Linked DNA regions of Coturnix japonica. The protein of the gene in region 3 interacts with the protein of the main gene of each other region in a pairwise test. Links are inferred from orthologs where the notes say so. Each region holds a gene or a part of one and is shown on either strand. Other genes may lie near its edges. The genes, in order: FKBP6, transcription elongation factor A protein 2-like, MEOX2, CHRD, PAK1IP1, PACSIN2 and CHIC2.

The links.
Region 1: the proteins of MEOX2 (region 3) and FKBP6 interact in binary tests that used the Homo sapiens proteins (3 or more experiments, as listed by UniProt). The two-hybrid records come from large-scale screens. The link is inferred for Coturnix japonica from reciprocal best matches to the Homo sapiens genes MEOX2 and FKBP6.
Region 2: the proteins of MEOX2 (region 3) and transcription elongation factor A protein 2-like interact in binary tests that used the Homo sapiens proteins (3 or more experiments, as listed by UniProt). The two-hybrid records come from large-scale screens. The link is inferred for Coturnix japonica from reciprocal best matches to the Homo sapiens genes MEOX2 and TCEA2.
Region 4: the proteins of MEOX2 (region 3) and CHRD interact in binary tests that used the Homo sapiens proteins (3 or more experiments, as listed by UniProt). The two-hybrid records come from large-scale screens. The link is inferred for Coturnix japonica from reciprocal best matches to the Homo sapiens genes MEOX2 and CHRD.
Region 5: the proteins of MEOX2 (region 3) and PAK1IP1 interact in a two-hybrid assay, tested with the Homo sapiens proteins (2 studies listed by BioGRID). The two-hybrid records come from large-scale screens. The link is inferred for Coturnix japonica from reciprocal best matches to the Homo sapiens genes MEOX2 and PAK1IP1.
Region 6: the proteins of MEOX2 (region 3) and PACSIN2 interact in binary tests that used the Homo sapiens proteins (3 or more experiments, as listed by UniProt). The two-hybrid records come from large-scale screens. The link is inferred for Coturnix japonica from reciprocal best matches to the Homo sapiens genes MEOX2 and PACSIN2.
Region 7: the proteins of MEOX2 (region 3) and CHIC2 interact in binary tests that used the Homo sapiens proteins (3 or more experiments, as listed by UniProt). The two-hybrid records come from large-scale screens. The link is inferred for Coturnix japonica from reciprocal best matches to the Homo sapiens genes MEOX2 and CHIC2.

What each region holds. Positions count from the first base shown.
Region 1 is NC_029534.1:199,736-203,896, forward strand, and holds the start of FKBP6 (inactive peptidyl-prolyl cis-trans isomerase FKBP6), read right to left. Parts: upstream 2,982-4,161; 5' UTR 2,947-2,981; coding exon 2,772-2,946; intron 1,937-2,771; coding exon 1,847-1,936; intron 1,343-1,846; coding exon 1,140-1,342; intron 1-1,139. Other genes in the region: E3 ubiquitin-protein ligase TRIM50, read left to right, coding at 4,036-4,087. UniProt on the Homo sapiens protein: Has an essential role in spermatogenesis. It is required to repress transposable elements and prevent their mobilization, which is essential for the germline integrity.
Region 2 is NC_029535.1:8,421,107-8,425,250, forward strand, and holds the start of transcription elongation factor A protein 2-like, read right to left. Parts: upstream 2,990-4,144; 5' UTR 2,872-2,989; coding exon of another isoform or gene 2,803-2,871; intron 1,943-2,802; exon of another isoform or gene 1,804-1,942; intron 1,729-1,803; 5' UTR 1,607-1,728; coding exon 1,517-1,606; intron 563-1,516; coding exon 500-562; intron 1-499. UniProt on the Homo sapiens protein: Necessary for efficient RNA polymerase II transcription elongation past template-encoded arresting sites.
Region 3 is NC_029517.1:25,764,150-25,768,321, forward strand, and holds the start of MEOX2 (homeobox protein MOX-2), read right to left. Parts: upstream 2,826-4,172; 5' UTR 2,429-2,825; coding exon 1,918-2,428; intron 1-1,917. UniProt on the Homo sapiens protein: Mesodermal transcription factor that plays a key role in somitogenesis and somitogenesis and limb muscle differentiation. Required during limb development for normal appendicular muscle formation and for the normal regulation of myogenic genes.
Region 4 is NC_029524.1:13,952,529-13,956,933, forward strand, and holds the start of CHRD (chordin), read right to left. Parts: upstream 2,997-4,405; 5' UTR 2,965-2,996; coding exon 2,847-2,964; intron 2,518-2,846; coding exon 2,414-2,517; intron 1,925-2,413; coding exon 1,801-1,924; intron 1,669-1,800; coding exon 1,522-1,668; intron 1,448-1,521; coding exon 1,330-1,447; intron 774-1,329; coding exon 677-773; intron 596-676; coding exon 454-595; intron 365-453; coding exon 224-364; intron 1-223. UniProt on the Homo sapiens protein: Dorsalizing factor. Key developmental protein that dorsalizes early vertebrate embryonic tissues by binding to ventralizing TGF-beta family bone morphogenetic proteins (BMPs) and sequestering them in latent complexes.
Region 5 is NC_029517.1:66,932,879-66,935,805, forward strand, and holds the end of PAK1IP1 (p21-activated protein kinase-interacting protein 1), read right to left. Parts: intron 2,254-2,927; coding exon 2,127-2,253; intron 1,044-2,126; coding exon 877-1,043; 3' UTR 575-876; downstream 1-574. UniProt on the Homo sapiens protein: Negatively regulates the PAK1 kinase. PAK1 is a member of the PAK kinase family, which has been shown to play a positive role in the regulation of signaling pathways involving MAPK8 and RELA.
Region 6 is NC_029516.1:62,881,973-62,885,681, forward strand, and holds part of PACSIN2 (protein kinase C and casein kinase substrate in neurons protein 2), read right to left. Parts: intron 3,206-3,709; coding exon 3,049-3,205; intron 2,273-3,048; coding exon 2,037-2,272; intron 1,384-2,036; coding exon 1,228-1,383; intron 240-1,227; coding exon 64-239; intron 1-63.
Region 7 is NC_029519.1:59,097,849-59,101,557, forward strand, and holds part of CHIC2 (cysteine-rich hydrophobic domain-containing protein 2), read left to right. Parts: intron 1-2,938; coding exon 2,939-2,995; intron 2,996-3,161; coding exon 3,162-3,221; intron 3,222-3,709.

The DNA.
Region 1 (4,161 bases), on a different chromosome or scaffold from region 3:
CAGAGATAACAGGCAGGAGAGCCCTGCACCATTGCCAAAGCCCTTCAGCATTCAGCCAGGCCACCACCACAGTGATTCCCTTCTGCACTGCTGCTGTGCTGGTAACTCCTGGCAAGAAGCGCTAAAAAACAGGTCAGGAAACAAAGGGACCCTGCAAGAAAAAAAGCAGGAATTTCTTCCTAAATCCTGCCCTACTCTCCACTGCTCAGCAGAGAGCAGACAGCTGACACTAAAAAAGAAAACAACAAAAAACAAGCACTATTCCTAGCATAAAAGGGAAAGGCACACTGCTGTAACAGTGCAGCACTGGGTGGCTCCATGATCAGCTTGACAACAGCTCAGGACATAAATCCAGCAAAGGGGTGGAAAAAGGAAAAAAGAAGAGTAACAAAAGATGGGCAGGTTGTCCCTGGGGTTCTGAAGTTTGAATCAGTTCCAGAGAGGGATGAGTTAGGAAGCTGGGGAGTAAGCTCTCCCCCATGCAACAGATAGTTTGATCTCAGGGCTGGGTGTGGAAAAAGCAGCCTCTGCAAGAGCTGTGAGGGAATGAGGAGGGCCTCCCTCCATCAGCATTGCTTTGTGTGCCCCAATCACTGACCCACAACTACAACCCAAAACCTCTTACATGAAAAGGGAGAATTAACAATAACATGGTAACTCACCAGGGAGGAGAGTGAGCAGTGAAGGAGCACTTGGGAAAGCAGCCAAGAAACAAAGACAAAGGGTGGGGGGCAGGGGACACTTCAATGCTCCAGACTTCACAAGGGTTTTGTTTTTAAACAGAGCTAGTTACTGTTCTGCCACTGCAGAGAACTTCCAGGAAGCTGGTGCCCTCTAGTGAAACCTTATGGTTTCTGGTAAAGCTGAAAATAAATGCAACTTGTTTCATCGACTCCACTACGGGGCAGCAAACAAAGGCAGCACCCAGCTTCTCCCCCTGCACTGGGCTGTAAACAGGACAAGGTGTGCAAGATAAACTCTAAAGGGCTCATATCTGCACGGATCCAGCAACCCAAGGTCTGGAAAACTGCTCCTGCATTAAACAAACATATGTAACATACGATCCTCAACAAGTGAGGGGAAAGACAGCAAAGTTTATCTTCCAGGTTTGTGCCCCAAGCCTTATTAAAGCAACTCACAGCTGTCAACGCAAAGAATGTGTCAGAGTCAGCAGAGTCCAGGAAGTCTATCAGCTCCACTTCAAATAAGACCGTGGCATTTGGGGGGATCAGAGGAGGACAACCCTGCTGGCCGTAGGCATAACTCGGTGCGAAGATAAATCTTGCCACCTCTCCTTTCTTCATCGTGAGGACACCAATCTCCAGACCCTGCAGTGTGATATCTGTCACAACAAGAAACAGAAGGTCATGAGAATCCCCAAACCAGCACCCAATCTCAGGTTCCAAATGAGAATTTTCCTCCAGGCTTTAAGAGGAAGTCCCTGTTAGCAGAGCAATACAGCGGTCAGTTCCCCACTGTCACAACTCGAGGCACACACTGCTGCACAACTCACGTCTGGATTAATGAGGCAGACTGCCGTGGGACCAAGCACACAGCAGACATTCTTGTCTCCTCTTGAGTGATTTAAAAACACTGAGGTGAGAAGCTGCTTAAAGACAACAGCAGAAAGCACCACACTGCCACCAACAGCACAGGCCCTGCTGCTCACTGCCGGCATGGTGTGTGATCAGCTCCAGTCTGACCTCCATCTACAAGGAAAAGGCTTTCTGATTCCATTCAGAAGCTTTAGAGATTTCAAAAAGACCTCAAGATGCCAGACAGCAATTAAATTTACATGCCCTAACAGGCAGCCATTAGAACCCCATGAGACCCAGGACCAACCTACCTTCTCCAAGCTTCATCAGCTTCGGGAGCTTCTTGGTGCAGTTTGTGCAGAAAGGTTTCTCCATGTTCTCCAGATACCCAAAGTACTTCACTGCACGGCCCAGAACAAGGAGCAGACAGGAGAGAACAGCAAGGTTTACATACTGTGTCTGATAACAATGCTGTCAGTAGTACACTCAGTCAGTTTTGCAACCACGCTTTTTTTCCTCCCCGCTGCTTTAAAGCAGCAGAGGGAGCACAAACCACTAACAAAAACCTGATCGCATCAGCACTGGGTAAAACAGCTGCTTAGAAGCCTTTATTCTTATCTAAACGAGAGATGCAATTTTGTGTAGAACCAGTGAGCTGCAGACAGGGGGAGAATGGGAAGTTAAGCCACAGAATGAAAACACCCCAGTTATCTGCAGGACTTCACAAACTTGCTCTCAAAGCCGGAGCCCTGGGAACAAATAAAGGACCAAACACAGTCCTTGAGCTGCTATTGCCAGAGCGAGGCCAGCTCCAGTTGTCACTCAATGAGGAGAAACACCATAAGGAGCTTCCCCTGCCACTCGTCAGGCCCTTGTACAGGAACCCCTTCCAGCTTAAACCCTGTGCTGTGCACACGGCTGGGAGCTGGAGGTCCAGCTCTGCTCAAGGTCGAGACGCCCTTCAGTTCAACCTGTCAGCTGCAACAAGTGCCGAGGAAATTCCGTGCACTCAGTGACCAAGCTCAGGGCCCCTCGGGATGGGGGCTGTGCTCCACAGGCCCGGTCAGACAGCACAGCCAACAGACAGCACGGCCGACACACGGCACGGCCAACCAACACACGGCCCGGCCAAAGGGCGGACAGGAGCAGCAAAACCCCCCCAGCCCTCCCGGCTCGGCCACCCCGGTACCGGGGTAACGGCGCCTCCGCAGCGCGGCCCCTCGGCCGGGGCCGTACCCGCCACGGTGGCAGCCGGCGGCACGAGCTGCCCGGTGCCGGGCCGCAGCAGCTCCTTGCGCACCCCGCCGTCCCCGGTGACGTCCTGCAGGGCGGCGGACAGCGCGCTCCGGAACCGGGAGCACAGTTCGGATTCGGACCCGGCTCCGACTCCCACCTCGCCGCCGGCCTCCATCGCACTCCGCGCCACCAGCCCGGCCCCGCCCCCCGGCCCCGGCCAATCACAATCCGAGGATTTCCCGCCGCTAAAAAGCCACGCGCCGGCGCGCCAGGATGGCGGGAACGGTCCTGCGCGGCCCCTGGCCAATGGGAGGAGGGAGCGACACGGGGCTCGCGTGGCACTATGGGGCTCTATGGGGCTCTATGGGGCACTATGGGGCTCTATGGGGGATGTAGGTTTAGGGCCACAGAGATGGGGGGAAATGAAGCATCTCCTGCACCATCAGAAGCTGCTCACCTGCAGCACAGGAGGACGGGGGAGCTCAGCACTGTATGTGAGTGCCCGAAGTGGGGGAGTGGAGCTGATGGGGTCAGGACCTTGTGTGTGTGCAGCAACAAAACGGGGCAACAAGAAGTTACAACAGCCATGGAAATGTGGGGAAGAACCGATTTCCTATAGGAGTGCAGGAGACATGAACGGGGAGCTCGGAGATGGGAGTGTCCAATGGGGACATGCAGCACCGTCTGGATGCCCTGTGCAGTGCAGAACTGCTTTAGAGGATGGGGAGCTCCACAGGTCCCCTCCAACCCCAGTGACTGTGATCCTGTGACTGTGGGTTCTGTCTTCTGTCTTCTCTAAGAGTGAAGCAGTTCTAACCAACCAAACCAACAAAAACAAACAAAAATCCAACACTCAACCAAAGAAGTTTCAGCTGCTAACAAAGCTTTCTAGTGCACATGTTTCCATTGATCCAAGTGTTGTGAGTGACTGAAAGCAGAGTGGGACTCACCGAAACCACCACCAAGGCAAACAGCTTCATTGCTTATCAAGGCTCTGAGTCATATGATGTGTTTGTACTGGGTGCACGAAGCACTGGGCAGCCTCAGGGGGCAGAAGGAGGAGGTACCATCGGCACAGCCTGGGCTGCAGGACACCAGAACTCGCTGCTCACTGCTGTGTTTGCTGCTGGTGACCCTGCAGCACTTTACAAGCAGGAACAGCCTCTGTGGGGCTGAAGACACAGTGGGGCAGTCGGCCGGGGGGCAGCTGCTCCTCACCCATTGAGGGGCCGCTCACCCACTGCCTGCCACGTCCGCCCTTCGGATGGGACTGAACTCTTCAGCTTGGTCAGGAGAAGCCGAGGGACGTTCATCAGGTGTGGGGCACCAGGAAGAGCCGAGCCAGGGCAAAGGAGGCAGCACAGGGCACGTGAGTGGTGGCGAGTCGGAC
Region 2 (4,144 bases), on a different chromosome or scaffold from region 3:
CCAAAAGCAAGGGATGGCAGTGCCCAGATTGCTGGGACTGATCACAAACCAGGCATCCCATCATTCCCAAACACCTCCTCTACATGTCTTAGTCATTTAAGTTTAGAGTGAAAGAATCCCAAATGTGCATCCTCATCTCTGAATTGTTATTCTGTTCAATATCTCCCTAATGTCTTGAATATCACCACTACAAAGACATAAAGAACTTCTTCCCCCAGCACACTGTCCTTTACATCTTCCCTTTTATTCTGAGCAGCTAAGACAGAATTTGAGTAACTGCCTCATCAGCTGTGCACAAACTTCAGGCAGCATAATGTGGCCTAAAGCTGTTTCATTGTCAGTCCAACACCGAGGTGCAGAGCTGTTTCCTAGAGGTAATATTTATTTTGATGCTTGGAGTAAAGCAAAAAGCCAGAGTAAATTACTACACTCATTTACACAACGTCTTGAGCTCATCCAGAGACAGACTTCAGCTCTGCACCCTAACTGTGCAACTCACCTGCAGTAAGTCCAAAGTCATGGGCATACTCTTCAGCTCCTTTAGTAAATCCATTGCACCATCCTGGAGAAGAAAAGATATAGAGAATGGGTGCCTCAGCTTTCAGTAAAGAAATGCAACAGCTGGGAATAAATTTAGAAAGTTGAAATCAAAGACAACAATTCTTCCTTAAAACATCATCAAGGCTGCTGAGCATTAGGCCACCACCTTCACCTGACAAGTTTAGGACCTCTAACACCTGAAAAATACACTTTGAATCACAAATGCTGCCTCAGCACCCATCTGGTTTGCAGGATTAATTCTATCCAACTGTTTTGTGAGTGCCAGTTATTGACATTAGGTTGTAAAAAGAGTTCAGCAGAGCTGCAAGAACTCAAGTCACCCACTTACATCTCAAAAGCATTGCCTAGAGCCACAGCTACCTGCATCCTCTTTCTACCACTTGAAGCTCCATGTGGCCACTTCCCAGTGGAAACACTGCCATCCCCCTCTGCTGAGAGCAGCTGGTACTAGGAGCAAAGCATCAAGCAGCAAAGCTAAGGGGCTGGTTGCTTGAAACTCATTATATAAGGTTTTCTTGTACCAGCTTCACATCCCATAATAATCCAGAAAATCTGCCTCGCAACCTTGTAGGTGCCTAAAATTGGTAGTACAAGACAAAAGGCAAGGACAGCAACATGAGCCACAACAAGCCTACCTCCATTCAGCCAACTCCTCCTTACCCTCTTCTATCAAACAAGGCCTTCCAGTGTTCACATCCAACAGCTCACTTCCAACACTAACAACTTCAAGCCCATCTGCAGCACAAGACCTATAGGACCCATCATCGTAGTGACATGGACAGACTGTCCTGCATTCTCTGTGCACAAGGGCTGTTTCCCATCCACTGCAGGAAGCAATCAGGCTGCTAGTGCCACCCTAGAGAACAGAGACTGAGAAAGCCAAATGAAAGCAGAAGGAAAGCTTCCAGCACACACAGAAGCAACTCACACCAGCATAAGCCACACATAGCAGTACCCAGGAATGAGCAGCTCCCCATCCAGGCAGGTCCAGACCTTTCAGTTCCTCCAACAGTAAAAAGGCTCCATTAAATCCAGCCCTTAACATACAAAAAGACCTGGTGATTCGTGCTTCTGTTATCAGAAGTGGAGCCACACATGGGGAAAACGGCAGCCAATAGGGATCCACACACAAACTAGAGCAACAAACAGGTACTCCAGGCAATCTCCCTGCAGGAAGAGTTTGCAAATTAGCGAATACAAAATAAACAGATGAGAAGCCAACCAAGAGGAAAGGTTGCATACCACTCTGTTAAGAAGCTGCCTCTTTCTCAGTGAAGCCCAGAAGCAAATTCAAAGTTACTACTTTCCTATTTCAACAACGGCATAGCAAACCTTCCATCAACAGGAACAGACATCACAGGCTGCACTGAGCCCAAGCACATGCTCCTGTTGGTACAACAGCTACACAGGTACCAGCGTTCAGTCCAACACCCAGAAGCTCACCAATCACAGCTGCACCTAATGCCCCATAACCCAACATTCATTCCCCTAATCCATTCCCCACCTCACCCATCACCTCCCACCCCTCCACACCTGGTCCCTTTGGTGTAAAGCCCTCCTTGCACCCAGTTTGCTTCCATGGTACTGCTGATGCTGTTGAGAAAAGCAGCAGCTGACACATCCCATCAGTCCCTCCCTCCCCACTGCAGGGACCCACTAGACACCTCATGAGACCCACTAGACACCCCATAAGACCCACAGCAGGCAGAGAGCAGCACAGCCAAACCCTTGTGCTCTAAAGGCTGATGGTGATAAGCAGAAGCTTATCTATAGGACAGGGCTGCAGGAGGGCGATACAGAAGCACTGGGGGTCACCTAAGGATGTGTCCAGGGATGCGGTGGGGATGCAAAAGGGTTTCCCCCCCCCAATAAAGAGGATGGGGAAGAAAGGAGTGCTGACTAGTAAGGAAGCAGAGAGCTGCAAGGTGTCGGGCTGGGGGGCACAATATGGGGGTAGAGGGGCTTCATAAGGAGAACACAGTGCCCTCCCATCCAACACAGACGGCTGGTAGAACAGGGTGGGATTAACCGCACTGCAATGGGGACGGAGGGCATAAGGGGATGGGGGGGGGAAAGGCCTTGATACCTGCAGGCCTGGGGAGGGGGCAAGGCTGAGCCCCCACCCTTAGAATGGGAACACAGAGCCGGCCCTTAAAACAGGGACCCCCGCCCCAAATAACGCGGCTCTATGGAAGGTGCCCCCTCCCCAATGTGTGTATAGGGGGGGAGGCCTCCACTCACCGCGTTCTTTTTCGCCACCATCTTGTCCAGCCGCTTGGCGATCCGCACGATCTCCTCCTCCCCGCCCATCGCTCCGCTCCCCGTAGCGACGATACCCGGGGGCTGTGACGGGGGAGGGACGGACGGACGCCGGTTGTTCCCGTTGCCCACCTCAACCCCCGCGACCGCAGTCCGAACGGGCGGCGCGCGGGGCACTATGGGATTTGTAGTCCGAGTCGCTCCCACCCGCCCTCCTCCTCCCAGCGCAAGGCCGAGAGGAGGGACTACAACTCCCAGCATGCTTTGCGCTGGTGGGGTGCGTTGGGAAATGTAGTCCGGCCCCTCCGAGGAACCGCAGGCCGCGTTCCACCCCCCCCCCCCCCCCCCATTTTAGGGCTGAGCTCATATGGCCGGGGGGCACCATAGGCCGGGCTGGGCACCTGCCCTTGGCACACCCCAGCCATAGTTCACTCCAGCCCCATGGTGTGCCCTAGCAAGTCCTAACACCTTCAGCCTCCAACCTTGAAGTGCTGCCCTTTATTAGTGCTGCCCTTTATAAGCTCCCCACACCCTGCCACAGGTGAACCTTGTCTACCCCTCCCATTGCCTGGCCAGGTGGGCTGAGCTTAATGGATGGCTGCAGCTGTGAGATGGGCTGTGAGCCCTCATAGATAGATAGATGGATAGATGGATGGATAGATAGATAGATAGATAGATAGATAGATAGATAGATAGATAGATAGATAGATAGATAGATAGATAGATAGATAGATAGATAGGAAGGGAGGAGGAAGGGAGGAGGGAGGAAGGGAGGAAGAAACCTTATGGTTGGGAAAGAGCCCCATGACCATGAGCCCCCATTTGGAAAGCAAATGGGATCCTGGGCTCCATCAGGAGAGGGGTGGTCAGCAGGGATAGGGAGGTGATTGTCCTCTCTACTCGGCTCTTGTGAGGCCCCATCTGTTGTACTGTGTCCAGGTGTGGAGCCCTCAGTATAAGAAAGAATGGAGAGTTTGTTAAGGGTCAGAGGAGGGACAGGAAGATGATCAGGGGGCTGGAGCACCTCCCCATATGAGGAACAGGTGAGGGAGTTGGGGTTTGTTCAGCTGGAGAAGAGAAGGTTGCGGGGTGACTCATTGCAGCCTTCAGTACCTGAAAGGCTTATGCCAGGAGGGGAGTAACTTCTTGTAGGGCTGACAATAGCAGGACACGGGGAAATGGTTTGAAGTTAAAAGAGGGAAGATTTAGGTTGGATGTTAGGGGAAGTTCTTCACTAGGAGAGTGGTTAGGCCCTGGAGACAGGCTGCACAGGGAGGTTGTGATGCCGTCCTTGGAGGTGTTCAAGACCAGGTTGGACGGGGCC
Region 3 (4,172 bases):
AAAAAAGCAGATTAATGAGAAATAAAGGGAGTGATTTTTAATCTAATGAGGGGCGATTATGGATTACAAATATAGAAATGCAGCGACTAACAACAGTTCTTGCTGCCATACATTAGGATGGCATTAAGTAGCATCAGAGCTTAGGATTAATAAAGGGGTGGGGTTAAATGGTTGGTCCAAAATTCTGCCTTTTCCTGAAGAAAAACCAAAGACATTGGAGCTACCCAGCTGCTGTCAGAAGGTGCCTATTTTCAGTTTGTGAAGTTCCTCATTGTGTGAATGGACAGAACGCTTTCTTCCTCGGAGAGAGAAGGGGGCAATCAGCAGTTAACTACTTTGGTCTTCTGAAAGTCTCAGAAAGTGAGGTGTGTAGCACAGTGCTATCAATGTAAGCACAATCGCAACTTGATGTTCCCACCCGTGTCCACTAAATCCAATGGAAGGCTGCAGTCATTTCAGGATACAATCTGTGACATTCCTCAGTGTGTTTTTTTGTATGCATCACAAAATTAAATAAACAGAAAGCAATACGGATACTTCCCTGTCAGTGAAAGGGACCCATTTCCTTTTTTTCCCTTCAGCTTTAAGTACACTGACAAATACAATAAATCCCTACACCGACAGGCATTTTTCAGTAGTAACAGGGACTCAAATTGTAGCACTCCCCATCTGCCGCACAAAAATCTGACAATTCCTTTTATTTCATAAAGCGTAAGGAAGATGCAATGATGGAATTCACCACCGCTGTTTGACAAAGTACAGCTTTCATTCCTGGAAGACTTTTCAGCCCGGCTACATGAGATAAAACTCAACTAATCCTATCTTGAATGACAAAATTAATTTATTAATGTAATAATGGTATCCTTTGGGGTCATTTTCCTAAACGGTTCCAATCGTCCACCACTCTACTGAGCCAACAACATTTTGGCTGCAAGAGGTCACGGTTTCGATTGGGAACTCCACAGCTCTGTGGAAAAGCCTTTCACTTTCTCTTCCTTGATAATATACAATTCGCTACGCCCGCTCAGGAGCTCTCAGAGCACCGAGTCCTTTCCTTCCCAAGTGCCCACTGCCCCCTCGCTGCATCCCTGACGGCCCTTTGGTTTGTGTGTGCTATCTTCACATCGCCTGCACCGCACGCCTTCGGTCAGAGCTGCCCATGCCAGGCTCAGCCGGCTTAAGCAGAGATTATGTCAAGGCTTTTGCGCGCTCAGAGCTCCTGAATCACCCTCCTAAAATAACTGCGGCTCTATATGTTTTTCTGCTCGTCTTTAAGCAAGAGTTGTGGTGTTGTGAAAAGTCAGACAGCTCCTTCCTTCCCTCCGCCCCCGGTACTAGCAACTTTCTAAAGCTTTCAATCACCCGTTTGGCCTACGGACCCCAGTTTTCTCCCCTTCCACGCCGAGGACCGAGCTGCACGCACGGCCAGATCCTACGCACGGAGCGCAAAAGCTTCGGACCGTCCCGTGCAGCCCCACGCTGCGATCTCCCTCTTCAGCGCCGCGATGCCGCAGCCCGCGGTCAGGGCGGAGGCAAGGAGCGTGTCCCGTCCCCAGCTTCGAAGCAGAGGTGGCGGATCGGCAAGAGGGAGGGGGACGAGGGGCCAGATGCTAAAATCCATTCCGAAACTACGAAAGCTCTCGCCCTGTCGGATGGAAACTTTCCTCCCGCCACCGCCACCTTCACTACTTCATGCGCTATCACGTGCTGGATTTTTCCTTTTTATTTCTCCCCCCCCCGCGGCCCTAATAAAGCTGCCCTTAATGACGGACATCCCGAGAACGCGGCCGAGGGCAGCCCGGTGGCAGCCCCGCTGCAAACGGAGCAGGGCCGAGCCGAGACAGCCGGGGCCCTGCAGCGCAGCTCCCCGACACCCTCCGCCCGGGGTTCCCTCCCCGCAGGGAAAGCCGCCGTTACCTGAGCTGTCGCTTTTCCTCTTCCCAGATCTCTTCTCCGTTTCCACAGGGGACAGAGCCTGCCTGCCATAGTCCCCCGGCGCACACGCTGCCCCCGTAGGGGTGGTAGTGCCCAGGCTGGAGGAGTTCGAACACAGCACGGGGGGGCTGCTGCCCAGCTCCGGGGGTCCTCCTGAGTCCGGCTGGAGGCAGAGGCTGTGCCTGGCCGCGGCGGGAGGAGACGACATCTGAGGGATGTGCCAGTTCGTCTGCAAAGCCTGGTGCTGCTGTTGCTGGTGGTGGTGGTGGTGATGATGGTGGTGATGGTGGTGCCCCCTATGATGCTGGCTGGCAAACATGCCCTCCTCATTGGGGTATCCCGTTATTATGCAAGAGGAAGAAGAAGAAGACAGATCGGGGTAGGACATGTGGTCGGATCTTCCATGCAGGGCAAGAGAAGACTGGGAGAAAGGGTGCAAGCTCTGCGCGGTGGCATGGGGGCTGCGCAGGCAGCCAAAGAGTGTGTGATCCATGGCATGCAAGTCTCAGGTTCCAGGCAGGAGAGTTTAGGAAGGATCCAACTTCACCACCCTTTGTCAACTTTCACTGTAAACAGATCGGGGCTGGGATTTTTTTTTCCAAAACGGCAACGACCGACTTTGCAGCAGGCGACTGAGCTCAGATAATCCAGGTCTTTAGCCCTAGCGGCCAGTCTCCGCTGCATAAACACTCGGACCTAGATGAGCCTTTCTCAGAGCCGCTCGGATGTCAAGAAGTGGGAGAGGTTGAAGCCAATAGAAGGTGGTCCCAGAGAACTGCTTGAAGGGGGAAACGGCTCCGAGAGGTTATAAATACAGTAGTGTGTAATGTGAGCTGGGGGCTGGCTTAGCGGCACAGCACTGACCACATGCAAACTCCCTCCAAAACGCCAGCGCCGTCCCCGCGCCGAGCGGCTCCGGCAGCGGGCGGCAGCGCTGCGCGCCCCGGGGGGGGGGGGGGGGGGGGGGGGGGTGGCCGGGGGCGGCCCGGAGGGGAGCAGCGGCTTCTCCTCCCCCTCGACGCGAGGAGCGCGTCCGCCGCTCCGCCGGGGCTGTCCGCTCCCCCCTCCGGACGGATGCGGGGCGAGGCGGGGGGCGTCTGGGCCCCATGGGGCCATCCCCGCACCGCACCTCTCCCAGAAGGGAGCGCGATAAAGGACACCCAGCGGGATGTGCACAGGGGCGAAGTGTGGGAGAAATCAAATACACCTGGAGGGCGCGGGGCTGCAGCCCCACCTGAGCTCCCAGCGTACCTGGGCACGGCACGGCCCGGCTGTGCGAGGCTGTTCTGCCTAGCGCAGCCCCGCAGTCACCTCCGCGCACACCTCGCCCTTAAGGACAGGAGGGACCACCAGTGCCTGTGGGTCTACAACTAAACTCCCGGCGCTCAGCGAGCCGCCACGTGTTTTCGAACACAGACAAGTCGCCCCTTTTGCCCCTCCAAAAGCGCAGTTTACCCAACTTCTCTGCTTCTCCATTTGCTACATTGCAGCCTTTATAGTGGGACAACCTGGAGAGGGACAGCCCGGGCTGCGCGTGTCGTGGGATTAGCAGTAGCGCCGAGGAAGGCTGTATACGGGTTTATATTAAGATAAAGCGCTTACAGAACGCTGCCCAAAGAGATGCCCGCTGCCGAAACGCTGAGTTCCTTCTCCCTTTCTCTTCGCTCTACCTTCCTCGTCCTCCCCGCAAACCAAACTTGAAGTGAAAAGGAAATAAATAAATAAATAAATAAAAAATAAAAGGAAAAAGAAAAAGCACCGCGCTCTGTCATTTCAGTCTAAACTCTTGGGTCCATGTGCGAAAGATAAAATGAATTCGAATTGCCATTGGAAAAAATCAGGAATTGTATGAGATTTGCAAGAGCTGGTTTCTTAAACGGAAATTGAGTCCTATTTTGTGGGAAATTAGTTTTGCAGACTTTCTGGGGGAAAAAAAAAAAAAAAAAATCTAAAACTTTTGTTCAGCAGCTGCTCCGCTTTTCCTTGCAGTTTCAGGCTGAGCTGGAACCTGCAGCAGCCTTTCGACGGTAAGACTTTCCCCCCTTTTCTGCCATCTAATGCTTTTTAAGTATTGTCTCTAGATTTAACTGTAATAATGAGGTCTTTAAAAAGGGAGCGGCGTCCAAAGCAGAAGTCGCTGCCTCCGTGCACTGTTCAAAACTTGATATTTCTTCAGAATAAAGGAAATATACAGTTACAACACTGATGAAATATTTTGTGCTTTTCATTGTGTTTAT
Region 4 (4,405 bases), on a different chromosome or scaffold from region 3:
GCTCCCAAAGCACAACACTCTGCAACCCCACATCTTTATACAAGCTTCCACCCACCCATGCACTCCCACTGCACCCCCACACACCCTGTGCCCCAAAATGCACATCTGAATCCCCCTGCGCACTCCCATCCTGACCCCATGCATCCCAAGCCAATTGCACACCATGGACCCCCAAGTCCCCCCAGTGATGCCATGCCCTGCAGGTGCCCGTGCCCACCCTCACCCCCAGCTCCTGGCTCCAGTAGCCCACGGGCCATGAGGATGAAGTGTAGGTTGTTCTCAGTGTCGCTCAGTGTCAGCATGGCCATGCCCCCGGCCCCAAGATGTGCAGGGTCTGATGAGGTCAGGATGGCACCAAATGTCTCTGTGCAGGGAGAAAGACATGAGGAGCACTTTAAAGGGAACCCCCTCAGGGGGTACATGGGTGTGGGGGTACATGAGGGTGGATCTTACCTGCAAAGAGTGCACGGTGCTTCAGGATGTGTCCATGCACCTCTCCGGAGGGCTGAGCACGGGTGATGAGGGACACGCGGAGCTGCTCTGCACGCAGCAGCTGTATGTTGGCTTTGGACACTGTCCTCCACATCCCACAGAGCTGTGGATACAGCAGAGCTGGGCATGGGGCACCGGCATTGGTGTGCCATGCGCATCACCCTGCCCTGCCCACTCCTCTCACCATGCCGTCCTCAGGGGCTGCGTTCTTCTGCACTGGGTGCTCAAACAACACGGTGCCCTCAGGGTCACTGAAACGCACACGGCTCGGCCGGCCCAGCCTGCAAGCACCAGGGGTTGAGCAGGGACTCCTAGCCCACGTGCCTGGCACCGGCCCCATGTAGTGCCTGAGGGGGGGTGGGACACGGAGCAGGGTGCCAGCTGGCATTGGTGCCAAGGGGTCCCCAGGTTGGCACCGTGTGGGAGGGAGTGCACATTTGGGAAGGACGGCGGGAGCTGAGCGCTCGGCCTGGCTGTAAATTAGGAGCATTTTCAGCTCAGTTTGGCTCCCCCTGGTTGGAGCTGGAAATTAGTCACCACTTTACTATGTAAAGGGGCCTGGAAGTGAGGAACAGCAGAAGCAACCCGTGCGGGAAGGAGAGAGGGAGAGACAGACAGCGGGCACTGGGGGAGGGCAAGGGTTTAGGGTCCTGTGGTGGTACCCATGAGCTGGGCCATAGGATGGCACAATGCCTGTCTCCCACTGCACCCACAGCCCCCTCCCAAAATCTCACCCCACCAACACAATGCTGTGATAGCACTGAGGGCAGGTAGAGGGGAAACTGAGGCACGAGCAGCATCGCATCCCCAGGTTTGATGGTTTCAGGCTGTGCTCACCGCTCGTAGCTGATGGAGAAGAGCAGGTAGGAGCGCAGCAGGGTGAAGCGAGCCTTGGCCACTGCACCGGACGTGGGGTGCCACGGCTCGGGGCCGCTCGTCAGCAGGGCCACGAATTCTATGGGGGTGAATTACAGTGATTACTAGAGGAGCACGGGGATGCCCTGCACCGCTTTTCCTGCCTGGGCTCACCTGTGCGGGCATCGTCGCGTGCCAAACCCTCGGAGCTGAGGTAGGAGCGGTCATTGTATGGCTTGTCCAGCTCGTCCTCCTTGTCCTGGAAGTACTCAAAGGTGTCGAAAGGTGGCTCGGAGCTCTTCTCTGGGGGTCCTGGCAAGGCTGGCGTGGGAGGCACAGCAGGGAGATGGATGTGGCACGGGTAACCCTGACACCAAGGAGCCCCTCCGTGGGGCTGCCCAGTGTCTCATGTCCCAGCCTGAGCCCAGCAGTGGGTGAGAGCACCATGCTCACCTTTGGGGCAGGTGTGGCAGCAGTGCCCGGGCAACAACGTGGCACGGGGGCAAGTGGGAACAGGGCAATCCTGCTTCATGTTCTTGCAGTTCACTTTCCCCACTGGTTTCCCTCGGCGATTCCTCTGCTGGGGTGGTAAGAACTGTGTCAAATTGTGCCTAATTATGCCACAGATACAGCTAACCCCAACATCCAGCCCCAGTGGATGGCACAGCAGTGGGTACCAGTGTTCCTCTGGTGCAGCCCCGATCCTCTCAGCCCATCTGCACAACCCCTGGGCCCCACACACCTTGCACAGCCTCCAGCTGTTTGTATGGCAGCCAAATCCCGGCCCCCACCCCCCTGCCCAGCTGTGCACAGCCCCTCCAGCCCTGACCTCGGGGGGCTGCTGGAGGGAGGGGGCCGTCTCCGAGGAGGGGAGGGAGGAGAATGAAGCATGAGCCTTTAACCCTCCGCTGCTGGGGGGTATCCAGGTGTGGCATCGGCTGGAGGAATCTCCGCTGCCGTTTCCCTCGGGGCAGGGGTAATGAACGAAGGGGTGATCCCGTCCCCAGCAGGGCCTCTTGTGTGGGGGTCCCCTATCCTGGCAGGGGAGGGGGTGGGGGGCACTCACCGTCTCGCAATGGCAGATCACGCAGCGCATCACCCCGAAGGGCTCCCCCAGGTCGGGGTGCCACGTCTCCTCCAGGGCATAGAAATGCCCTCCGAAGGCACAACCTGCAGATGAATCCCCACCCCATCATCGGAACACCCCCACAAGAAAAAAGTCACCTCCGGGCCGCGGGCACCCCCCTGCCGCAGCCCCGATGGGGCGGACAGCGTCCGGCACCGCCCCGTCGGGTACGGACCCGGTTATTGGGACCGAACGGCAGCACGGGCAGGCGGGGGTGGGGGGGGACGAAGTTGGGGGGCATAAAAGGGATGCACCGGGGGGGGGGGGGTGCCGGAAAAGAGGGTGCACGGGTTGGAAGAAAAAGGGTTGCATGCAGCGGGGGTGCACGGAAAGGGGGATCGAAGGGAAAGGGGTGCAGGGAGGGGGGTCCTACCTGCCGTCCCCCCGGGGGGCAACGGATCGCTGTCGGGCCGGATGGGCAGGGCGAGCTTGGGGCGGGCGGTGCGGGCGGGCAGGGCGAGCAGGGCGAGCAGCAGCAGGGCGGTGCGCATGGTGCCGGGGAACCGGGGGAACCGGGCGGCCGGGGGCGGGGAGGGGGGGCCGGGCGCTGCCTGCCGCCTCCGCTGCCACCGCCTCTGCCCGGCCGCCGGCCCCGGCCCCGCTTTATAGGCGGCGGCATGGGCAAGCGGGAGCTGCGAGCCCTGTGCAAACAAAGGGCCGCTAATGAGGCGCAGGCAGCGGCCGGCCGGGGGGACGCGCCCCCGCCGCGAACCGAGCCCCCCCTCCTTCCTCCCAAACGGGTCCCGGCCCCCTGGGCATAGGGACCCCCCCCAGCCACTGACCCCCTGCTCTGGGATAATAGGGTACCTACGGAGAACCCGTCCATGAAGCACCATTAGGGACCCCTTGGCACGGAGCATCCCTTGGATCCCCCTGAACCATTGGTCCCCTCCCAGACATGGGGTACCTCGGGTATGGAGCCCCTGCTCACATAGCAACCTTGGAGCATGAGGGTCAAATGTAACCCCTTCACCTGCATGCCCCTGGTCAGGGTGTGGGGGACCCCCGTCACATCCACACAGCACTCACTGGGGCAATGCAGAACCCACACTCACACCCCCCTCTGTGGGGCTTGGGGGTATTTCTGGGCACTGGACACCATGAGTACACCCCAATCCACATCCCCCCCTCACACTCCACCAGGACATAAAGCCCCTGCAAGCCCTCATTTCCCCCACACCATTGGATCACCCGTGGGACAAAGGGCACATCTCCCCTCAGCATCCCCCACAAATCCACTCTGTGCCACGTGTTGTCAGACTCACGCACCCCACAACATGTGCCTTTGGCATCCCCAGATCCCAGGGCAGAGGGCGACCCCAGAGCAGTGCCACAGGACTGTTCCCACGAGCATAGGGACAGGACCTGGGGTCCCAAGGAGGTGCCACGGCCGAGGATACGGGAACAGCACCCAGTAGGGATCCTGCTCTTCACCCACATGAGCCCGGGCTGACGAGGGCAGCAGCGGTGGTGGGCAGGGAGCAGACACCATGGGAAGGCCTGGGGAGAGCACAGTGTAGCTGGGGAAACTGAGGCACGGGGCAAAAGGAGAGAGGGGGGTGGTGTGTCCCACCCGTGTCTCCCCCACCAGCAGGGAGGGAACGGGATGCCGGGTCCCCCCCCACCAGTGGGAGGCGGGCGGGTATGCAGGGGAGGAGGGGGAAACGCCGGGCTGCCAAAATCAACTCTGGGCGGTGCAAACAGCCGGCCAGCTGCACGGTGTAACTAGGGAAACACGGCGCAGCTGGAGCACAACAGGCCCTTACCTCCCCAGAAAGCTCCTCCTGGGCCTCCCCACAGCACAGCGAGCAGCTGGGGGGGCTGCAACCCCACGCACCGCGCCCTTGCTGCCAGGGTGCCCCATCCCTGTGCCCTCCGCACTCGACACGAGCGAGCCCCAGCAATGGGGAGCCGGGTTTCCCCGACGGGACG
Region 5 (2,927 bases), about 41 Mb from region 3:
CCCAGGAAACACCGATAGGGCAAGAGAGAATGGCCTCAAGTTGCACCAGAGGAGGTTCAGGTTGGATGTTAGGAAACATTTCTTCTCCTAAGAGTGGTCAGGCACTAGAATGAGCTGCCCAGGGAGGTGGTGGAGTCGCCAACCCTGGAGGTGGTGCAGAACCGTGTGGATGTGACACTGAAGGACATGGTCGGTGGGCATGGCATTCTGAAGATGAAGTGCAGACTGGCTTTTTGCTGGTGACACCTGGCTTCGGTCACTGTGATGCTCACAGCCATGGGCTTGTGTATTTGAAATTACAGTGAAAATTGTTCTATTAGAGGCAGCCGTTTTGCCCTAAGACAAAATGTTACATCTCTTTATTATATATAAATTTCAATGAGAGAAAAGCCTAAGTTGTGTGTTAACTGTAGGAGCCTATTTAAGTTAAAAACAGAACAACAAACTTCATTGCTGAATTAAACTGGGCTCATATTAATGGAGTTTACTGCCTATTCAGACATGGCATTCTCACAACTCATGAGTGGCAAAGGCAGATCATATTGTCAGTGGTCAGAACAGAGAACCTCCAACATAAGAATGAAAAATGATATAGAACTTTAATACGTATATAGTTGAGACACACAAGTTTAACTGAGGCAGATGTCGCTCTTTTTATCATTTTAGCTGGCTATTTTAGCTTCGTTCTCTCAGGTAAAGTTGCCATCTCTTTTATTGCTTCTCAAAGTGATCAGCCAATTCATCTGGGTAAAAAATAAATTACTCTGGAAAATCCTATCAGCTCTGAGGTATTTGTCCTCTGCTTGGAAAATATCCTTGTAAAAACTACAGCAACACCAGCAGTTACTTCTTATCCAGGAGAAACAGCATTCACCTTCATTCTGAGCTATTCTGCTTCTGCTTCTTTTTCTTCTTTTGCAGTGGAGCTTCCAATTTTCGCTTAGCTGGAACAATTCTTCTGCGTTGTTTTAGCAATTTACCACTTTTATTCATCCCACAAACTTTCTTCTTCTTGACTACTGATGGCTTCTCAGTTTCATTTGCTGAAAGAAGCAAGAAATTATTCACTCTGATATTTATTTCCAGTCTGTAGTCTAAAATATTACAGGCTTGTTTGTATCTCCCATTTAAAAAAAGGAGGAATTTAAACCATAGTTTATTTAGAGCGGAGTGTGCCAGCTACGCAACTTTCTGTTAAGAAAACATCTAAAGATCAAATATGGAACAACTTACTAGACAGGAAAACAACAGCAAAAAAACCCAAACAACTCATGCTACCAACCAACCCCTAAGCCAGACTTCCTAAGTTTGCCCAGCTGCACCAGCATCAGATCTAATTTTGTTCATAGGAATGCAAGAACATGCAGTTCTGTCAAATTGTTTATTCTTTTGTTATCTGTCCTGAGAGACAACCTACACCCAGGAGGGGAGTAAACTCTTTGAAAGGGCTGACAATAGCAGGACACGGGGAAATGGTTTTAAGTTAAAAGATGGAAGATTTAGGTTGGATGTTAGGGGGAAGTTCTTCACTAGGAGAGTGGTTAGGCCCTGGAACAGGCTGCCCAGGGAGGTTGTGGATGCCCCGTCCTTGGAGGTGTTCAAGACCAGGTTGGACGGGGCCCTGGGCAACCTGATCTAGTAAAGGTGTATGTTTGGTGGCCCTGCCAGGCAGGGGGTTTGGAACTACATGATCCTTGAGGTCCCTTCCAACCCGGGTCATCCTGTGATTCTGTGAGAGCTTCAGAGTCTCCCCCAGTGTGTGTTATTCCACTGAAGAGAAACAAAGCTTTCATATCCCAGAAGTGAAAAGCTGTCCTCTACTTACAATGCAAGGTATCACAAATTAAGTTTCCACACACAAAAGAACTATTTCTCTCCATTCCAAATCGTCACTCAGTTCCTGTGTGTGTGTCCGCTCACAAATAGTTTCCATAGTTGTGGCTTTATTATGTGCATGCTTGAGACACTATTAAATGGGTGCAGATATCTATGCAACTTGCCAGTGTCACATCCCCAATTCTTCAAACTGCAAAAGCTTTTTCCAAGGCATACAGTAAAAACCTCCCATTCACTATCTTACATTTCACAGTCACATTAACCACTGAACATACAGACAATTCTATTACCTTCAGCTGGTGTTGCAGCTTCTCCACAATTTTCTTTCGTTTCTGAAGCTTGGTCAAGCCACACTGCAAGGCATGTCAGCCGAGCTTTGGTGCTGACTTCACATAATAAGGATGGCACGTTTTCAATCTGAACATAGAAAAAGAAAATTAATTAATCATCACTTCTATTTAAAAATTTACTAAACTATTTAAACTGAGGAAGTATTTTATGGCCCAGTTCCCACTCCTTTTTGGGAGAATCATAGAACCACAGAATGGCCTGGGTTGAAAAGGACCACAACGATCATCCAGTTTCAACCCCCTGCTATGTGCAGGGTCACCAACCACCAGACCAGGCTGCCCAGAGCCACATCCAGCCTGGCCTTGAATGCATCCAGGGATGGGGCACCCACAGCCTCCTTGGGCAACCTGTTCCCTAGGACAATGTGGCACAAACACATGTGCAGAATGGCAGCACTGATCCTCTAGAAACAATTTCTAGTAATGCTATTGTGCCTCTCAGAGCTGGGCAGAGCAACCCACAGAATTATGCAGGGGTTTACGAAGATCTGTCTGTGCAGTAAAAAGAAAGAAAATCACACATTTGGCCAAAGTAAAGACAACAATATAGAGAAAGTTAAGAGTTCCTCAATCACTGTTTCAATCATGTAAAAGCAGACCTGGGATTACAGACGAAGGGGAAAAAAGGATTTTCACTACTGCACTTAATAGAATATAAAGAGGGATGAAATTAAAAATATGTGAATTCAGAAGAGAAATATAAAGTGAGATTTCGACGTTAAGATATTTATAGTAGAGCCC
Region 6 (3,709 bases), on a different chromosome or scaffold from region 3:
AGCATGGATTACTTTTGGCTTAGAAATATTAAGCACTAGTTTTGAGGTCTTGCACAGTTTTACCTTGCAACATTAGACAAGTCAAGGTGTTTCTGAACTTCCAGTAACACTTCTCGAAAGAAACGTAAGCGTTTTTCCTCGAACTGCTGACACTGTTCAAATACCTGCTCCATGTTTTCCATATACTGAGGAGTGGCATTATCTAATTCTTTCAGTGATTTTTCATACTTTTCTTTTGTCTGAGGTGGAATGAGAAAAAAGGAAATCAATTAGCAATATTTTTATTACAGTCCTATGAGACCCACAAATATAGTATCAAGCAAGACCTGGAGTAAAATACACTGAACCACATTCTCATTGTATTACCACCATTACCCTGTTTGATCATGATGAGATTTACCTAACAAAATAACAAAACAATTACAATAAAGGCCTAAGCCTCCTCTCCAGCTTTTTAGAAATCATAAAAAAAGTAAACGTAATCCTAAATATAAAAAACAAAGGAGGTGTTTAGTATAAGAGCAAGTAGTCTTTCAATTTACAGGTTCTCTTAGTTAAAGATCTCCAAATAATTTTGAAGTCTTAGCATTTCCCCTTCAGCAATTTACGCAGTCCACCGTGAGTTACAAACAGAAAGAAGTATAACTGCATACATTCCTGTGAACATAAGTCACAAATCTAGTGAGCTCAGTTAACAAACACAATCTTGGACTCTAGATTAATTTACAACAGTAGTCCAGAGATAGTAAGAGATACCACCAAACATAATGTTGGCCATCCAGATCACAGAGCAACATTGGAAAGGGAAATATTTTCTTAAAAAACAGAAGTCACACATTCACTTCATTTAAATAGACTGTATCAACTTCATTTCCTTCAATAATAATTTTTTAAGAAGTGTGTATTGTACAGTCAGGAATGCTGACACATTTAGATGCCAGTACACTTTAAGCATCTATCTCATATTCTCTCAAATGAAGTAACTCTGTCCTCACTATCAAATATGAAGAACACTTGTATTATTCTATTTCTTTCCCTACTCAAAGTACTTACGTAAAATAGAGGTTATATCATCTGTTCTTCAGGAAAGAACATAGCAATGACATGCCTTGTTAAAAATCCCAAATTTTTGCATAGGACTGTTACAGAAGAAGCCGTGCTGCAGTCCACAACACATACAGGAGGAATAAGACCTTTACACATGGACAGCCTATATATTAGTCATACCTTTAGTACATCTTGTTTGCTTCTCTCCACTTTGTCTTGTAATTTCTTGAGTTGTTCAGGATTTAGCGCTGGATCAGCTTTACTATTTGTCTCTCTAGATATAGCCAGCTTCTCCTCTTTACAGGCCGCATGGTATGCTTTCTTTGCAGCTTCCACCTAAAAAGAAGATTTGAATCTCTACACCTGTGACACTTTATAAAACAACTGTGATGGTTTTATTTCAGGATGGGGGCTTTTTTTTTTTTTTTGGTTTAGGTTTTTTGGTACGTTTTTTGTTTTGGCCAAGGATTGAACACTACACAATAATCAGTGTAAGGAAATTCTTGTAGTACTTTGAAATCAACATATTTTACCATACAACAAATATCACTTATAAAAGCTTAGAAAAGTGAAGAAAGACTCAAGAAAGGTTTACAGGAAGTCTCAAGTACAACAATTTTTCCTCATGCCCATGTTCCTCTGCTCCCCTTCTTCTACAAACCTGTCATTTAAGAAGGTTGTGTTACAAGGAGAAAATCTGCAAATACTTTTCCCCGATCATTTCTTTGAACAACACGTAACATCCCAATGCATGGGACCAGATATTATTAAAATAACTTCAATTCTACTTTTTTTCAGATTTTCAGTGAAGTCACCAAGATTAAGAAGAGACCAAAAGAAAATACTTATTTTCAGAAGAGGACAGAAAGCAAGAGATCTTTTTGAGAAAGGAGGGTCCAGCAGAGAAAATAGGGAGTTTACTCCCTTACAGAGATTTGAGACATTAATATATTGTAACACAGGATATCTAATACAATCTACTGCTGTACCTCTTTCAGCTTTTTTGCCCAGGGTTTCTGAGCTTTCCTAAATCCATCTTCTGCTTCTTTGGTTTCCTTAAATCCTCCCATCATTTGTTTATGAAAGGCTTCCTTCTGCCAGTTCTTGATTTTTTCAAAGTCTTCATTCATCAGTGAACCTTTTACTTCTAGATGTAGTTCACTCACTTTTTCAGCTTCTGACATAAAAGCACACCAAGCCCTTTCTACTGTTCCATACTGTGGGCCTAAACACAACAGAAAGTGTCATTCTCAATAACCATCACCCACATGGAACTTATATTCTCAAGAGACTACCTGAAGCTATTGACTTACATTCATCTCTAAATAGGAATTCGTAGATAATTATGCAAATCTAGAAAAGGGATTTTTTTTCCAGACAGTTTTAGAATACAACATGTTACAATCATACTTAAATAATATTCATTTAGTCTGGCCTGTGTCTCCCTAAACTGCAATTTCCAATATTATGCTTATTAGCTCGTCTTTGAGCTGCCTTCGATTTCTCAACAGATTTTTAAGCATGGACAACCATGAAAAGAAAAGCTAACTCAGAATATAACTAAAATGCTATCAGATCAGCCTTTCATTAAAACATTACTTTTCTATTAATGTTTCCCCAGCAACCACTGACACCTTCTTAGGCAGACAAACTTTCAAACATTGTGTTCTCTACCATTATTTACCCAGAAACAGCTAATTCATAGAACTGAATTTATTTGGATACATCAACACCAGATGGCAAGATTCATCCATTTCCATAAGAAACAAGCAAATTAGAAAAGGAGCTAAGTCTTGTCTTTTGTTTGTTTTTTTTTGTTTTGTTTTTCTTTGTCTTAACCAAGGAAAGCTTGATCTTTGAAAGACCCATTTGTTACACTGCTAAGCCATTTGCAAAGGTTCCACTTAAGCTAAGCATTTCTACTTTCAACTTACCAAGAGCATTCCAGTCTTTTTTTCCTATTTGAGAAATCTTTAAGAGTTCAAAATGAGAATGTATTACCTTTTTCCACCAGTTGTTTCCATCTTTTTGCCCATTCTGTAAGTTGCTGAGCATAGACCTTCTCTATCCGTGCACGTTCATGAATACAGTTCATGAGATCGTTGCAAAGTCTGTGACCATCATCAATTCGCTTTACTGTCCGCTTGTAATTTCCAACCTGTAAAGATACAAACACTTAGCAATTCCTGCTTGAAACATCTGAAGGCAAGCTAAGTCTCTAATACACATACAGCAACAGTACAAGAAAGAATCTGCTATCAGGAATTCATTGGTTATACAATCCAGTATATCCAATTTTCAACTAATCTTAAAACCTAACTTATATAAGATATCAGAAATAAATTGTAGTATGATCTGCATGGAAGATGCTGGAAGTTCCCAGAAAGAACACCACAAGGGTGACAAGTCCTCCTGTAGGAAAAAAAGGTTATTAAAAAAGCAAGCTTGCCATTCAGTAAACACAGTTCAGTCAAATATAAATACAGCATTACAAAAGAATCTATGCATTATTAGTCTTGCAGTGTAAGTATAGGTAATTGTCACAATAGTTATTAAGAAATTGTTCTGCATTATTACTGCTTGGCAATGTTTTAGATGATCAAAATACTTGACGCAAGCATTGAAGAAGGAAAGAATCTATTAATTACCGAGTACCTTAGGT
Region 7 (3,709 bases), on a different chromosome or scaffold from region 3:
TATGTTACAAAGTAAACCTTCACATCATTGCTATTCTAAAAACTATATTTGAATTGCAGTTTAATATTTGATTAGATATTAATGTGTTTTCTAAGAAAAAATGTAAAAGCTGGATAGTGTTAGATCTTTTTAATAAGCAAGTCTCTCTTCCACTTAATTTGTGCTTTTGTTGTGGCTAACAAATAATTTGCTGTATAGGTTTTTCTGTACACCATTGACAGAATATATAAGCTTGTCATCCTAGTGTGTTGGAAATGCTACACTCAAATCAAGTGTTCCTTTCTGGTTTTGTATATCCTCACCTGCTCCTCACTGTAAATCATTGAGATGTCAAGAGCAGTGATTAATTAAGCTGCACGTGCAAGTGCTTTTTTTCACCTGTCAAGTAGGAAGAAAACTTACTATAGTGAATTGTGTGATGCTGCTTAATTCATTTCTTTTTATTCCAAGCACTGAGATTTGCAAAAATAATTTACATTCTAATTTTCATTAACATTCTACTATATGTAATGTGGTGTGATTTGAGACTTGTGTGTCTCCCAGTTTATACTCCAGGATGGTTTGGATGTACATCCTTGGGAACACAAATTATCATGGTCACAAGGCTGCGTGTGTTTTTATCTAATGCTGCTCAAATGACTTTAAACTGGGTTCCTATTTAAGACAACCAATTAATACTACATAACTACCTATCAGTTTCTTATTTATGTGTATGCATTGTAATATATTTGTAATTTTATTGGAGTTTGAAAAGCTTAGATGTTTTTCACACTCTTTTGGGCAAACAATGAAATTAAATTGTATAGTGATCTTAATCTATTATTAAGAGGTCCCGGCGAGGAAGATTACAAGGTAGATTCAGGTTTTGAATCGGTTTTGCCATTGGTTTAGCAGCGGGTGGGCAGGCAGATGCCTGCTCAGAGTAGAACCTATTGCCATTTTTCACCATTGATAGAGTAGCCTTTCAGAGTCAATGAGCTCTGTCAATGTGAGCTTGTCAAGGCTACAACTTCATAGACCTGAGAGGCGGTTTGAGAGGTCAGCCCTTTTCAGGTTTGCTGTGATGCAAATGAACTTTAATGCTTAAACAACTATTGGAATTTTTATGTCTGCTCCTTGTTCTTTTTTCTTCACAAAGTCATTGACGAGACATTCAGTGCTTTTTAAATTGGAAGTTGCATTGTGCTAAAGACCTAGTACAGATTTACGGAGGGCTGAAAGCAGTTAGATCATGTTCTTTTCATGGTGCGATTAGAATCAAATCGATTTCCCTACAGCCTTCAGCATTCAGATGGCAATTTTAACAAAGCTTGGGGGCTAGACAAGGGACAAAACGACTGAACTGAATGTTAATTACACTCTGCAGCCTTATTTTCTTTTGATTTGGAGCTGACTGGCAACTAAATTAACAAAAGTGTGACCATAACTGCTGCCCTATTTTCATTTAAAAGGAGAGCAGACTCTAAAAGGCTATCTTTACAAAGAAACAAGTGAGGTCTACTGATTATTGTTAAAGGGCACTGTCTTTAAAAACATAATAATAACAATAACCCCCAAAACGCTCAATTCCAAACTGAAGTGATAAATTAGTCGCTGGCACCTCCACCTTTGGATAATTCCTTGACTTACGCTTTTTAAAATACAGAATAATAAAAATTCAGTTTAATGAGTATTTATGGATGGCAATGATCTAATTTTTAATCACGTGACCTCAGTCCGTGCTCAGACGTGCTTCCCTGTAGCCACCACAATATTGTGTCGGAGAGTAACTGGAGTTTTTAAAGCAGAAAATGTTGTTATATGATGGGAAATGAATAATTTGTTGTCTGATTTTTAGTTTGCTCAGACATTCTTGTTTGCCAGGACAGCATTTAGCTTGATTTGTTAAGGTTCATTTACAGTACTTGTATTTTGTAGTAATAGCAGCAAGATGCTTTCTCATCCCTTCCCCTCACCCCTCTGTGCCTTGTAAGGAAGCTGCAGCTGCACTAAGTTGTATTTGATCCTTGTCATTGCTCCGTCCTTTTGCACCTGCAGCTCTGTTGGTCTCATCTTAACACCTGGCACCATGAATTATCCTCTATTTATTCATAGTCAGTAGCAAATCCCATTTAGAGCTAAGCAGTATATATTCTGGCAGTCAAATGACCATAAATGTCAGAATGTATTTCTCAAATGTAAATACAACAGAATAATTATATTCAAAATGCCGTGAAACTTTACAGCGCAGAAAGTCCTTTAATGCTCGTGTGTGTGGTTTGAAAAAGCTGCGAAGAAACAGATTTTGGAATTCTCTATCTGAAGTGTCAGCTGTGGAAAAGACAGGCATTCAAACTTGGCTTTAGAATCCTAAATACTGGGTTTGCTCTTTATACAAATCATAGGCTTTCTAACATTCGCTTCTGTTGAGTTACTGAAACTTCTTGCGTTTTGGATTCGCTCCCTAAAATCTGAGTATAAAAGTAACAACTCCTTTTTTGTTTGCTTTAATAGACTACTGCATGTTTGTACTCAACCTATGACACTGTAAAATACTGTTTGCAACTTTAGTCTGCTGAAATGCTGACCTTCTAAGAAGCAGCGTTTAGACCGCTGGTACTTCTGAGCTACGCTCCTGCATTTATACTTAGGTCACGTTAAAGTTTCTGTAACAGGTTTTGAAGCTGTAACTGCTACGAAGGTGAATATATGCGAACAGATTTTGTTCCAAACTGGTTATATCTTTCTACACTGTTTTGTCAATAGTTACTTGTGTGTCAAAAAAAGCAGTTTTCCCCACTGGTTACTTTTTAAAACCAGGGAAGTTTTGGTAGTGCTGCAGACCACCCTGTACTCAGTCACTGTCCTGTACCTCTCTCCTTTTCACACAAAAGCAGCTGCAAAACAAAGTTTTTCTAAAACCACTCAAGAGTAAAATTCTTTCTCATTTGTCTTCCAGACACGAAGATCGATTGAGAAGTTATTAGAATGGGAAAACAATAGGTTATACCACAAGGTGAGTGCCGCAGGGAGCAGCTTCGTACTGTTGGAGTTTGAATTGCACAGTATGGAAACAGATGCTTTTGTTGAACGAAAAATATGAAAGGTGGACAAATGGGCCAGTCTGTGTGCTGCAATAAAATACAGCTCATTTTTCTTCTTTTTCTTTCCTCCTTGTCTAGCTGTGCTTGCATTGGAGACTAAGCAAAAGGAAATGTGAAACGAATAACATGATGGAATATGTAAGTTAAAGGGCTGTTTTGTGAGTTTCTCTATTAAATGATCATTTATTTTGCTTCTGATCTTATTCTTTTCGTGATTATTAATCAGTAAAGGTGTCAGGAGCTTAATCGCCTTGAGTGCAAGGATTTTCTACGGTTCACAGATGCATGGTTTCATGTGCAGGACTGATTTATAAAGTTATGAATGACTTGAAAACAAGGCTTCACTGTGTTCTAAAAAATAATAAATTAATTGCCAAGATAAAATAGCTCAAACATGAGCTGATGGAGTGTGAAATTTTAGATGCTGTATAAAGAATAATCACAACTTTGGTTACGCAGCAAGTCAGATATGGCTGTTTTATATGATGCTAATCAAGTCTAAAAGTATGGAAGAAGACCTTTCAATTAAGCTGTTGGAGCTTAAGAAACCTTTAGCCTTTTTGGGTTTTAACTGCCCCTTATCTCAAATGTCCTGAGAGTGTCTTTATCTCAAATCAACATCACTA